Linked DNA regions of Canis lupus familiaris. Each later gene encodes a partner of the first gene's protein in a complex. Links are inferred from orthologs where the notes say so. Each region holds a gene or a part of one and is shown in the gene's direction. Other genes may lie near its edges. The genes, in order: LSM6, PRPF3 and LSM7.

What was found.
Region 2: LSM6 (region 1) and PRPF3 share a complex: the UniProt entries of both Homo sapiens proteins name them as parts of the precatalytic spliceosome. The link is inferred for Canis lupus familiaris from reciprocal best matches to the Homo sapiens genes LSM6 and PRPF3.
Region 3: LSM6 (region 1) and LSM7 share a complex: the UniProt entries of both Homo sapiens proteins name them as parts of the precatalytic spliceosome. The link is inferred for Canis lupus familiaris from reciprocal best matches to the Homo sapiens genes LSM6 and LSM7.

The regions. Positions count from the first base shown.
Region 1 is NC_049236.1:44,950,073-44,953,817, forward strand, and holds the start of LSM6 (U6 snRNA-associated Sm-like protein LSm6), read left to right. Parts: upstream 1-1,073; 5' UTR 1,074-1,232; intron 1,233-2,441; exon of another isoform or gene 2,442-2,546; intron 2,547-3,745. UniProt on the Homo sapiens protein: Plays a role in pre-mRNA splicing as component of the U4/U6-U5 tri-snRNP complex that is involved in spliceosome assembly, and as component of the precatalytic spliceosome (spliceosome B complex).
Region 2 is NC_049238.1:60,208,458-60,212,202, forward strand, and holds the start of PRPF3 (U4/U6 small nuclear ribonucleoprotein Prp3), read left to right. Parts: upstream 1-1,149; 5' UTR 1,150-1,535; intron 1,536-1,827; exon of another isoform or gene 1,828-2,095; intron 2,096-3,745. UniProt on the Homo sapiens protein: Plays a role in pre-mRNA splicing as component of the U4/U6-U5 tri-snRNP complex that is involved in spliceosome assembly, and as component of the precatalytic spliceosome (spliceosome B complex).
Region 3 is NC_049241.1:57,200,723-57,204,397, forward strand, and holds the start of LSM7 (U6 snRNA-associated Sm-like protein LSm7), read left to right. Parts: upstream 1-801; 5' UTR 802-811; coding exon 812-817; intron 818-900; coding exon 901-991; intron 992-3,675. Other genes in the region: SPPL2B (signal peptide peptidase-like 2B), read right to left, coding at 596-655. UniProt on the Homo sapiens protein: Plays a role in pre-mRNA splicing as component of the U4/U6-U5 tri-snRNP complex that is involved in spliceosome assembly, and as component of the precatalytic spliceosome (spliceosome B complex).

The DNA.
Region 1 (3,745 bases):
AGGTCTTTTGTGAGGAAGGCTTTTTAGGGACAGGGTTTTCTTTATATCTGATTATGTTTGTTCTTTGCAGCTAATTATTTTATTTAAATGATACTTAATTTTTTTCACATTATATCTTATACCGCAAGAGCTTCAAATAAAGCCTTTTCAAGAAATCTGTAATGCTTGGTTTTTACCCAAAGTGAGCTTTTATGGAAGGATATAAGGAAATCTCTTTTCACCACCAAATCACACCCAGTTGTTCTCTGGCCGTCATATCAATCAAAGATTCTTTCTTCAGCTAAGACAGGTTTACGAGAGGGGAAACTCATGTAGATCTTAGGGAAAAAACCCTGCATCTTAGATCTGTAACACTTAAGAGTTAAGAATCTGTCCAAAGATATTATTTCTTTGTTTAGAGTGTTGCAAATCACAAGCAGAATTAAAGTATAGGTTTTAAGTTGAGGGTATGTGTGTGAGGAGAAAAAGGAATCAAGTGTTGGTATAACACTTTACTTCTTTTTCTTCGCCCTTTCCACTAATAGCAAGAATATTGAGAATCCATGCAGAATTCCAAACCAAGTTCCCATAGCAGCACTTAAATAATGTCTGCATACCATTTCCAATTAGAACTAGATTGTAATGTAACGCAAGTCATACCATTATAATACGGAGCTACTTTAGGGATTTTAATTCTTTTTGTGGCAATTACGTTGCCATGGAAACAATCTCTTGCTAATAATGACTTCATCGCACGATCAAAATCCAAAGTGGATTTAAAGATTTGAGGATGCCTGCTTTATTTATTTGCATTAACTTTTTCAAGGACCTTTCCGAGCCTGTATAGTCATGACCCTAGTAGTCAATTCCAGTTTAGTAGGACTTCAAGCTATTTCTTGCATCTCTGCCTAAAGGAAATCCTGCCTAAAAGATCACTTCCAGGCTTTGTTTTGTTTTAAGTATTTTAAGGGGTGTTTGCTTTCTGCTAAGAGGTAGCAGCAGCGGCTCTTTCTCCTCTGACCGCCAAAGCCCCAACTTTGCCTTCGGGCCAAACGAGACTCCCGGCTCGGCGCGCGCCGCCGAAGCGCGGCCTTCTTGGGCCCCGCAGGCTGCCGTAGCCCGGAAGGGCGCTCCCCGGCGGCCGCAGAGGCGCGCCGCCCGCTCCGGCAGTTTCACTTTCGGTTTCGCCCGGGCTTCGGCGGAGGCCGCAGCTGCGCGCCACCTGGAGCGGGGGTTTGGGTCCCGGCCGCCAGGTGAGCCGGGCGGCCGCGCGGGCGGCGGGGGCCCCGGTGTTCGCTGGCCCGGGGTGGGTGCGGGGAGCGGCAGCCGGGAGGCGGGCCGCGCGGACCCCAGGGGCCCGGCCCAGAGCCCCCCGGAGGGGCGATGGACCCCGCGGGCGCCCGCCGCAGCCTCCCCGCGCCGCCGACTCGCCTTCCGGGACCGGGACCGGGGCTGCTGGCGGGGTCCTCGCCGGCGGGTGGGCGGGAGAGCGGGCCGCGGGGCCCCGTGGGCCGCGCCGGGTTCCGAGGGCTCCGGGGCCGCCGCGGCCACCTTACCGGGGCCTGGGGCCTCGGGCCGCGGGCGCCCGCAGGGTACGGCGTCGAGTCCTGGCGCCGGGGCTGCCGCGGATGAGCGCGCGCGGCCGGAGCAGGGGATGGGGCCTTAGGGTGCCCCCCCCCCCCCCCAATGCCGCAGAGACACAGGCTGTGGAGATCCTGGACTCAGAAGCGCTTAGCGAAGGAAGCCCTATTCACTGAACCCCTTCCATCTTTACTCTTGCACGTGCCACTTCCTGTTTGAGCTACGACTACCTGTGCCCTCCGTTAACAGTACAGAGAGTTGTCCGCTTTCATTGAAAAGTGCCTCTTAAATGTTATTTCTGGTTTTGCGCCTTTTGGTGGGCTACCTGTTCTGTCCTTGTGTAGGTCCCGTAAATTATTCAGCCATTTCCCGACTGTGAGGCATTTAGGGTGTTTGCGAATTTTTGTTTCATCCTAGCATCCCAGGTAGTACTTTGATAAACGTTATTTTTAAAACTGCATTTCGGATGATTCACTTGGATTGATTCTGAGCAAGGACATTTTTACAATAGGTGCTGTGCCCCAGTAAGGTCTCTTCAGATCTACATACCCCTTGCCAAATTGTTTTCCAGGAGAGTTTTAGCAGTTTGCATTTCATGTAAGGTTGTGCCTGTTTTCACCAAAAGTATGATAGCTCATAATATGTATTTCTAACACGTCACCCTCACTTTTTTTTTTTTTTTTTTTTTTTTTATGGTGGTGTTTCATAATGCCAATTGCTTGAATTTTGTGCAGGAGTCTAGAGAATTATCTTGGGTTTGTGTGTGTGTGTGTGTGTGTGTGTGTGTGTAAAAGTATTACTGGAGTTCCTGCATAGGCTGACAATGTTAGAGCAGGATGATCTCTTAAGTGGTCATCCAGCATAACTCCCTTATTTTGCAGATGAGGAACCTGGGGCCTTGAGAGGTGAAATGATGAGTTCTCCAAGGTATACAGCTACATTAAGTAGCAGAACTGGGATTAGAATTCAGGTTTCCCATCTCCCAAGTGAGTACTCCTTATGCTGCATTGGGTGGTCTCTCACTAAACTGTGGCATACTTGTATGAGCATTTTTAAAAATCTTGGCATCACTTGAATTATTTTGTCCTGTTAGAAATAACAGAGATTTTAGTCATCTGAGGGAAGTGTAACACTTGGGAAATTGACCATTTTCAGGACTGGGACTAAGAAATCCATTACTTAAAATGGCAACCCTTCAAGATTTTTTTTTTTAAAGATTTTATTTATTCATTCATGAGAGAGAGAGAGAGGCAGAGGGAGAAGCAGGCTCCATGCAGGGAGCCTGATGCGGGACTCGATCCCAGGACTCCAGGATCACGCCCTGGACCAAAGGCAGGCGCCAAACCGCTGAGCCACCCAAGGATTTCCCCCCCTTCAAGATTTCTTGACAGTTGTTTTTAGATTCCCTTTATGTCAGGATAAAGTATCTAAAAAGTTAGAATTTAAAAAAAAATTAAAAGTTAGAATTTGTACTCGATCATCTGATTAGAATTGAGCTGTTTGTTCTCATTTGTTATACCTTGAAAGTTTTTTAAAACTCCTTGTTGCTTGAATACTAGAGAACAATGGTTTTTTGATAAAGGGTTTATAACAGAGTTTTTCAACCTCAGTTGACATTTTGGGCCGGATAATCCTTTGCTGTGGAGCACTGTCCTGTGCTTTTTAGAATGTTAAGCAACATCCTTGGCCTCTATGTCCTAGCACCACCCTCCTCATTCAAGACAGTCCAGAATGTCTCCAGATGTCCGCATTTGCTTACAGGAATCATTTGGGAAGCTTTATAAAATGTCAGTTACGGTGTCCCCTTGCCTGGGGAGTCTGACTAGGAGTAGTAGACTTCAGGAATCTGCATTTTAACAAGCATCTCTGTTGACTCGGATGCAGCTGGTTCTTGTACAACACAGAAACATTTCTATTTTCTTTGTCTTTTATTTGGTGGTCAGTAGCAGAGATATGACTGTGGTATAGCCATTTAAGTGCACAGATGATGCAGTGCTAGTCACTATACCCATAGTTTGCGGGTAGGGGTGAAAGGGACAGGGATTTTCCTTGGCACTGTCCTCAAATGTCTCCCACAGGATTGATTGGCCGGTGAGCTTAGGTTCCTTTTCCCCTGTCTCTGAGAAGCTTAGAACCTACTGTGGGAGACTGATCAACAGGAAAACTGCAGAACAGCCTGCTAAAT
Region 2 (3,745 bases), on another chromosome or scaffold:
TGAATGAGTGAGGGAAAGAGTGGTGGTAGGTTGAAATCACAGAGGTAATAGAGTGGCACATTTTACTCTGAATTGTATGAAGAGCCAAGAAATGGTTTTAAGCAAGGACATAACGACCTTTCTGAGGTGTTTACATGGTCACTATAATAGCTGCCTTTCTAGTACTAGATAATTTGCTTATTAACCTACATTATGAGACAAAAGGGGGACAGACTGGAAGCAGGAGGCTCCTAAAATAATCGAAACATAAAAATGAGAGTAGTGGAGGTGGTGAGAAACAAGTGGGTTCTGTATGTATTTGAAAGCAGGACCAACAGAACACAGGAGTCCAGGATGATTCCAAGATTATTGGCCTGCCGAAACTGTAATACAGTTGCTCTTAACTGAGAATGAAGACTTGGAGCTGGTATTTTGGCAGGGCGGATGCGGTGTGAAATCATGAGTTTAGTTTTCATTATCGTGTAAACTTAAGATGTGTTCCAGACTAAATAGGCAATTGACTATTATATGTAATATAGCTTATTTAACTCTATGAAAAGCACTGTTTTAAGTGCATTACCCTCATTCTGTCATTGTTGACCTCAGAGCAGCCCCTGTGAAGAGAATTTTTTTTAACAGGTGAGGAAACAGGGCTTCAGTAATTTGCCTGCTTTCATAGCTAACGCGTGAGATCTAGAATACAAATCTCGGCAGTCTGACTTTAAAGCCCCTGTCCTTAGTTTAAGCAATATCGATTTTCAGAGGATGTCTGGCATATGGCAGTAGGCAGTCAATAAGTATTACGCCAATGAATGAATGAAACCATAAAAGGCACAGATGGAGGGCATGCTATCTTCGGAGTCGTCCTATGTTAGTCATTTTTCTTGGTGGTCTCTGACACTACACTTAAGTAAGGGAAAAAGGTTAAAGTGGTGCCGCCTCTCAAGATGGTTTACTGCCTACCAGAAAGGCTCAGTTTAGCCCGAACCCAGAAGCCTCGCTTTTTAAAAAAAAATAATAATAATAAAAATTTTTTTTAGATTTTTATTTATTTAATCATGGGGGGGGGGGGCGGGCAAAGACAGAGGCAGAGGGAGAAGCAGGCTCCATGCAGGGAGCCCGACGTGGGCCTCGATCCCAGGTCTCCAGGATCACGCCCTGGGCCCAAGGCAGGCTCTCAACCACTGAGCCACCCAGGCGTCCCAGAAGCCTCGCTTTTAGCGCATTTATTCACACTGTGAGTACTGCAAGCCCAATTTCTGCTTCAGGCAACATTAACTTCGCAGTAATCTAGTTACCAGATTTAGCTGGAGAAACCCAAAGACGCAGGAACTTTCATGCGCAAACTTTACTGCCCTGGCACGCATGCGCTCCGCCGCAGAGAAAGTAGCTACTACGGCTGCGCAAATCGGTGGCCCGGCCCTTCGCCGTCACATGTGGGGGACCGCGGCGTGGCGGCAGCTGTGGCGGTAGCGACGGCAGGCCGTAGGGCGGTCCGAGGGTTTCCGGTTCCGGTGTAACGTTCGGGCTCCGTCTCAGAGGCTGAAGTTTGTGAGGTGAGTAGTGCCCCGGGCCCTTTGAGGGTATCCTCCTGTCTGAGCAGCGAGGGCCGGGACTCAGCCCACGGGGAGGACCGAGGCGGGAACGTTCAGTGGGAAGGAAGCTGAGAGAAGTACAGGGTTCTGAGGGAGAATGGGTTGGAGTGAGATTGTGAGGAGGAAAAGGGCGGGGGCGGGAAGGGGACGGGGTGGGGAGACTAGCTGTAAGATGAGGAGTTTGGGGAGAACAGGGTGGGGTAGGGAACCGGTCGGAGATAGCAAACAGAAGAATGGGAGTTGCAGGGGGGAAAGTCAGGTTAGCAGGGAAGAACACGGAGTAAGGAAATTTTTCAGAAGATTGGATTCTCCTACCTGCTCAGAGATCCTGCCTTCCTCTACTTCCACCCCCGCCCCGCCCGAGGCAGTTATTGTCGAACATTTGATTAGTGACAAAAAGCTAGTTACTGTTTGAAACTTTTATTTTTGCCCACTGACTGTTTAATTTCCTAGAGGATTGGGTTGAAGTTGAATACATTTGTTAGTATGGTACTTGAGCACACATTTCATCTGATAGAGCGGTACGTGATTTGTTCTTTGGATTTTCAAAATGCTTACCCTTTCTAGCCCATGATTCAATTCTGGTGGAATATAAGCCCCATTAAGGCGAGGATTGTCTGTTCACTTGTATCCTCAGCACACAGTACACTGCTTGAGACCTAGTACTTATGCAGTGTTTATTGAATGATTAAGGATTATTTAGATATGGCAATTGGCTTCATTTTGTACGACAAGTAAACTGAGGCTCAGAGGAATTACTTGCCAAATAAGAGTTCGATATTTCAAATGTTCAGTGTGAACTCTTTTCTTCACTCATTTTGGGGTCTGAATCTGCTTCTTTTGAGTAACGTACATTTAATATGTATTGATTTATACACTATACTGCTATATCATGAGAGGTGAGTAGAGCTGCCATAGAATTATTCATATAACATGTCCTGAGGCACACAAAATCTTTCACTCCTATTTTCATTACGTTAATCTACTAGCTTCCAGTGGTTATACCAAAATTAAATACACAGTTTAGCAACAGGTCTTATAGAGAATAAACCTGCCAAGAAAGTAGAAGTTAATTAGACCATCTTTTAAGAGAAAAAAGATGTCTTAAAATATCTTGAGGGGTGCCTGGGTGGTTCAGTCAATTTGGCATCTGCCTTCAGCTCAGGTCATGATCCCAGCATCCTGGGATCAAGTCCGGATTCAGCTTCTCCCTCTCCCTTTGCCTCTCCCCACCGCTCATATGTTCTCTCTCTCTCAAATAAAGTCTTTAAAAAATAAACAAAAAATCTTGAAAGATTGACTCTCAGAGACCCTGATTTGTAGCACTGCTGTGAGGAAGTTAGCTTGAAAATTGAGGTCAGTGCTGTTTATTAGCTTTAGGCACTTAGTGAGAAAATCAGGGAAATAACATTTTCTCTCTGCTCATGAGCTATGCTATTTTTTTTTTTTTTAAGATTTATTCATGAGAGACACAGAGACATAAGCAGAGACATAGAGGGAGAAGCAGCCTTCTCGCAGAGACCCCAATGTGAGACTCGATCCCCAGACCTGGGGGGGATCACTCCCTGAGCTGAACACAGACGCTCAATCACTGAGCCACCCAGGCATTCCAGGCTTTACTGTTTAACTAGGAGAGCAAAATGTAAACATGAATAATTTTGAAGAATTGCTAACTTGGGTAAATAATTAAAATTTGTTATAGAGAGTTCTTTATGATAATGTTTTCTCTGCTAAGCTAAAAGCTAAAAAGAAAGGAATAAAGATGTAAAGGGAGAGAGGAGTGCCTAGATGGCTTAGTGGTTGAGTGTCTGCCTTTGGCTCAGGTCATGATTCCACGGTCCTGGGATTGAGTTCTGCATCAGGCTGCCTGCTTCTCCCTCTGCCTATGTCTCTGCCTCTCTCTCTGTGTCTCAAATAAATAAATCTTAAAAAAAAAAAAAGAAAGAAAGAAAGAAAAGGGAGAGAAAGCACATCCAAAATGAGGGTATTCTTTTCTGAGCTGAGGGATTAATTTTGTGAAGTCAACTGATAGAGATCTCGTAGAACATAAAATGATCTGGGTACAGAATTTCCATGGGGATGACTATGACTACAGAGAAATGTGACAACATTCTTAGGTATTATGAACTTTATTGTTTTTAAAAAAATTATTTATTTGAAGTAGGCTCAAC
Region 3 (3,675 bases), on another chromosome or scaffold:
CTGACCCCAGCTGCCCGAGGAGGAGCACGCTGCAGCTGTCACCCCATGAGCATCACCGCCGAGTCCTCACTGACGTCTTCCTTTTGCAGATGAGCAACTGACGCCCGAAGCTGGGGCCTCCCTTGCCCAAGGTCACGCAACAGAACACGGGGCGGCGGTTGGACCCCACTCGGGACGCGGGCTCTCGGCCGCTCCCTGTGGGGAACCGGGGGCCACGCCGGACGGCTTACCGCAACCACGCGGGTGGGCGCTAACCTCGCGCGGAAGGGGAAACTGAGGCTGGGGGCCAGGCGGGGGGCGTCCCCGGCGGCGGCCGGGGGCCTCGGGACGGAGCAGGGCCTGGGGAGCCGGGGGGCCTCCCGGACTTCAGACCCAGGCGCAACTGGGCGACGCTGCGGCTGGGGAGGGCTCCGGGGGGGGCCGGCCCGCAAGGTCACGGCCCGGCTCCCGGCCCGCGGGCCACCGCGCGGGGGGCGAGCAGACCCGAGGCTGGCCCCCAGGCCAGGCCGGGCGGGGCTCCCGCGGGGCGCGGGGCCCGGGGCGGAGGGACCGGGCGCCGCAGCCGGCGGGGCCGGCGGGGCCGACGCAGCCTCACCTGGGTCGCGAGGAGCAGGAAGGCCGCCGCGAGCCGCGCCAGCGCCGCCGCCGCCGCCATGTCAGCCGGGTCGAGCCGCAGGCGTCGGCAGATGTTTCCCAGCAACGCCCCGGCGCGCCCCGCCGCGCCTGCGCCGTGTGCGCTCCGCGCCTGCGCACGGGGGCGGGGTCAAAGGGCGCGCGGCGGCGCCTGCGCAGAGCGGCGCGCGGCGGCAAGATGGCGGTGAGCGCGCGGCGGGGCCGGCTGGGCGGGCGGCGTGGGACCCGGCCGCGCTCTGCGCCTCACGCGCTCTGCTTCCCCCGCAGGACAAAGAGAAGAAGAAAAAAGAGAGCATCTTGGACTTGTCGAAGTACATCGACAAGACGATTCGGGTGAAGTTTCAGGGAGGCCGCGAAGGTGAGAGCCCCCCGCCGCCCGCCGCCCGCCCCGCCGCCCGCTCCCCGTCGACGGCTCCGGGAGGCGAGCAGGGTGGCGGATGCCCGGGCGCAGGCCGGAGCGCTTTGCTGGGAGGACTCGCGACGGCCTCCGTCCGACGCCGTGCACGCGGGGAAACTGAGGCACGGGAGGAGCTGCAGACACCCCGAAGCGGCCGAGGCGCAGGCGGGGTCCTCGCTCCGAGGCAGCCGCCCCCGCTGGTCCCCGCTGGTCACTGACCCCCGCCCCGGCTCCTTGGGCTCCGCACTCGTGACCCTGACGCCAGCCAGATTGTTCGGGGCTGTCGGGGCGCTGGGGGGAGGGGAGCAGCCAACCCCCGGATGCCGCCAGATGCCAGGACATGCCTTAGCTTGGGCACCCCAACCAGGCATCTCCCTTGCCGAGCCGCGGCCCGGTGTCAAGGATGGTCCAGAGGGGCCTGTTAAACACAGGTGGGCCCTCCTCTGGGCCGCCCGGTCCCTCCCGGGGAAGGGGCAGCCTTGCGGAGCTCTCAGCTGCCACCAGGCTGTGACGTGCACCCGCCTGCTGGGCTCTTACCAGGCTTAAAACACAAGGCTTCTCTGGGTGAATGAATTTCAAAGATCTCGGGAGCTTTCTCCCACTATTCACGAGCCAGGGAGCACCCCACCTAGGAGACGGCGCAGAGCCCCAGAGGGTTTCGTAGGCAGAGGGTGCAGGAGCAGACGCTGGATCGCTTCCGGCAGGGTCCCCCTCCTCTGGGGGATGCTGGGGGTTCTTTCAGGAAGACTAGCTCGGGAGGGCTGACCTGGAAGTTCCAGGCTGACTGGTGGAGATTGCATTCCTGGGAGAGCTGCAGGTGCGGCCAGGTTAGGTATGAGGCCGCGGTGGGGTGGCCGGGGCTTGGCACGAGTGACGCCGTTGGGAGTCTCTCTTTCTAACTCCAGGTTAACTCCACAGTCATTTTTCTGCTCTCAGCTCAGGATTCTTGTTCCAGGAAGCCTTCCCTGATCCTCCACCCTGGGCCCCACGCCTTTGGTGTCAGCTCCTGGTACCGTCTGTCACCGTTCCCCGCTTTACGCAGTAAACACGACACCGACCTCTGCATCTTTCCCCTGGAATAGTGAGGAGGGCAGGAGCTGGGCCCAGTGTTGCTGGTGCGTGTAGGCAGTGTGGCCTCTGGGGTCCTAGCACCAGGCAGCTGGAGTCAGAGCCACAGCTCTTTGGCGCACTGGCTGTGGGACTTCGGGCAGCTCACCCCGCCCCCCAGGGCTCCATTTCTTCACTCCCCCCACCTCACCGGGCGGTGGTGAGGATCACAGGGTTGGAGGCACCTTCGATGTGGTTTCTGACACAAGCAAGCACTTGAGCAACATTTCATTTCTTCAGCTGCCTCTTTGCTTTCGTTGTGTTTCATGAGACAGTGACCCAGATCCTTTCTCCCGGAGATGTGGACGATTGGGTAGCATCGGCGTGGTTAACAGCGCGGTGCCTGCAAGTCTAGGTAGCCAGCAGTGGTGAGAACTTGAACCCGAACAGATGTTTGCTCTGTCTGCGCCGTGCTGGCTCTGGGACCCGTGAAGGAGACACAGCTCTCGTTTCTCAGGGTGCTCATATGGGTTTTCTACGCTGTGTAGCAAGTTGCCACCACGTTAGCAGCTTACGCAACATGAATTTATTATCTTGTGGTGTTTGTCAGGAGGAGTCTGGGTGCCTTGGGCTCAGGGGCTCAGGTTGCACTAAAGGAGTGTCTCAGACGCCCTGTTGGTTGTGGGCAGGGTTTGGTCCCCTGCGAGGGTCCTACCCCTGTAGGACCAGGGTCCCCGAGCTCTGCTACAGGTGTCCTAGAGGCTGCCCGCCGGCCCTGGCCACAGCACTGTCCACAGCATGGCAGTTTGCTCCCTCAAGGCCAGTGGGAAGATCCCTCTCATGCTTTGAATTTTTTGACACAGTTCCTGTTCCCCTGAGCTCATCTGATTAGGTCAGGCCGGCCGAGCAGAATCTCTTTAGGTGAGCTGAGAGGGCACTGATTCTGGGACCGTAATCACACGTGCCCGTTCCTTCGTCTTTATCCTCCTGTAACCTAATGGCAGGAGTGGCATCCCGTCCTATTCACAGGTTCCCTCCCACACTTGAGGGGAGGGGTTCCACTGGGTGGTCACCGGGGTCAGCCCCATTTTAGAACTCTGCTCGTGCCCCACGGAGGAGGGCAGACCCGCAGGTGCGGCCACAGTGCCCGCTGCCCATAAGCTCGTCGGGGAAGTGTCCTCGGGACCTTTGTCTTGCGGGCGGAGGGGAGGTCAGTCGGGGAGAGAGGAAGGCACAGAGCCAGGCGATCTCGGTCACGGCTGGAGGCGTGAAGGCGCCCTGAGCCGGTGAAGCTGCTCACAGGAGCGCAGCAGGCCGGGTTGGGCCCCCACGCCGTGGTGCGCAGAGCTGTCGGTCCCGTCCAGCCCCGTACTCCCCGCAGACACTACAGCAGCGCGGTGGAGCGTGGTGGGGGCACCCCTGCTTCGCCAGCTGTGCCTGGGCCGGGAGGCCTGAAGGCCGGAGGGGCAGGGCTTTGGGGCGCGTCCCTCTGGCCGTGTAGGCGCCGCTCCTCTGCGCATGCGCGCCACTGCTGGTTTCCGTATGGCTCGTGAGCTGAGAACGGTTTTTACGATTTCAAATATCTGAGAAACTGAAGC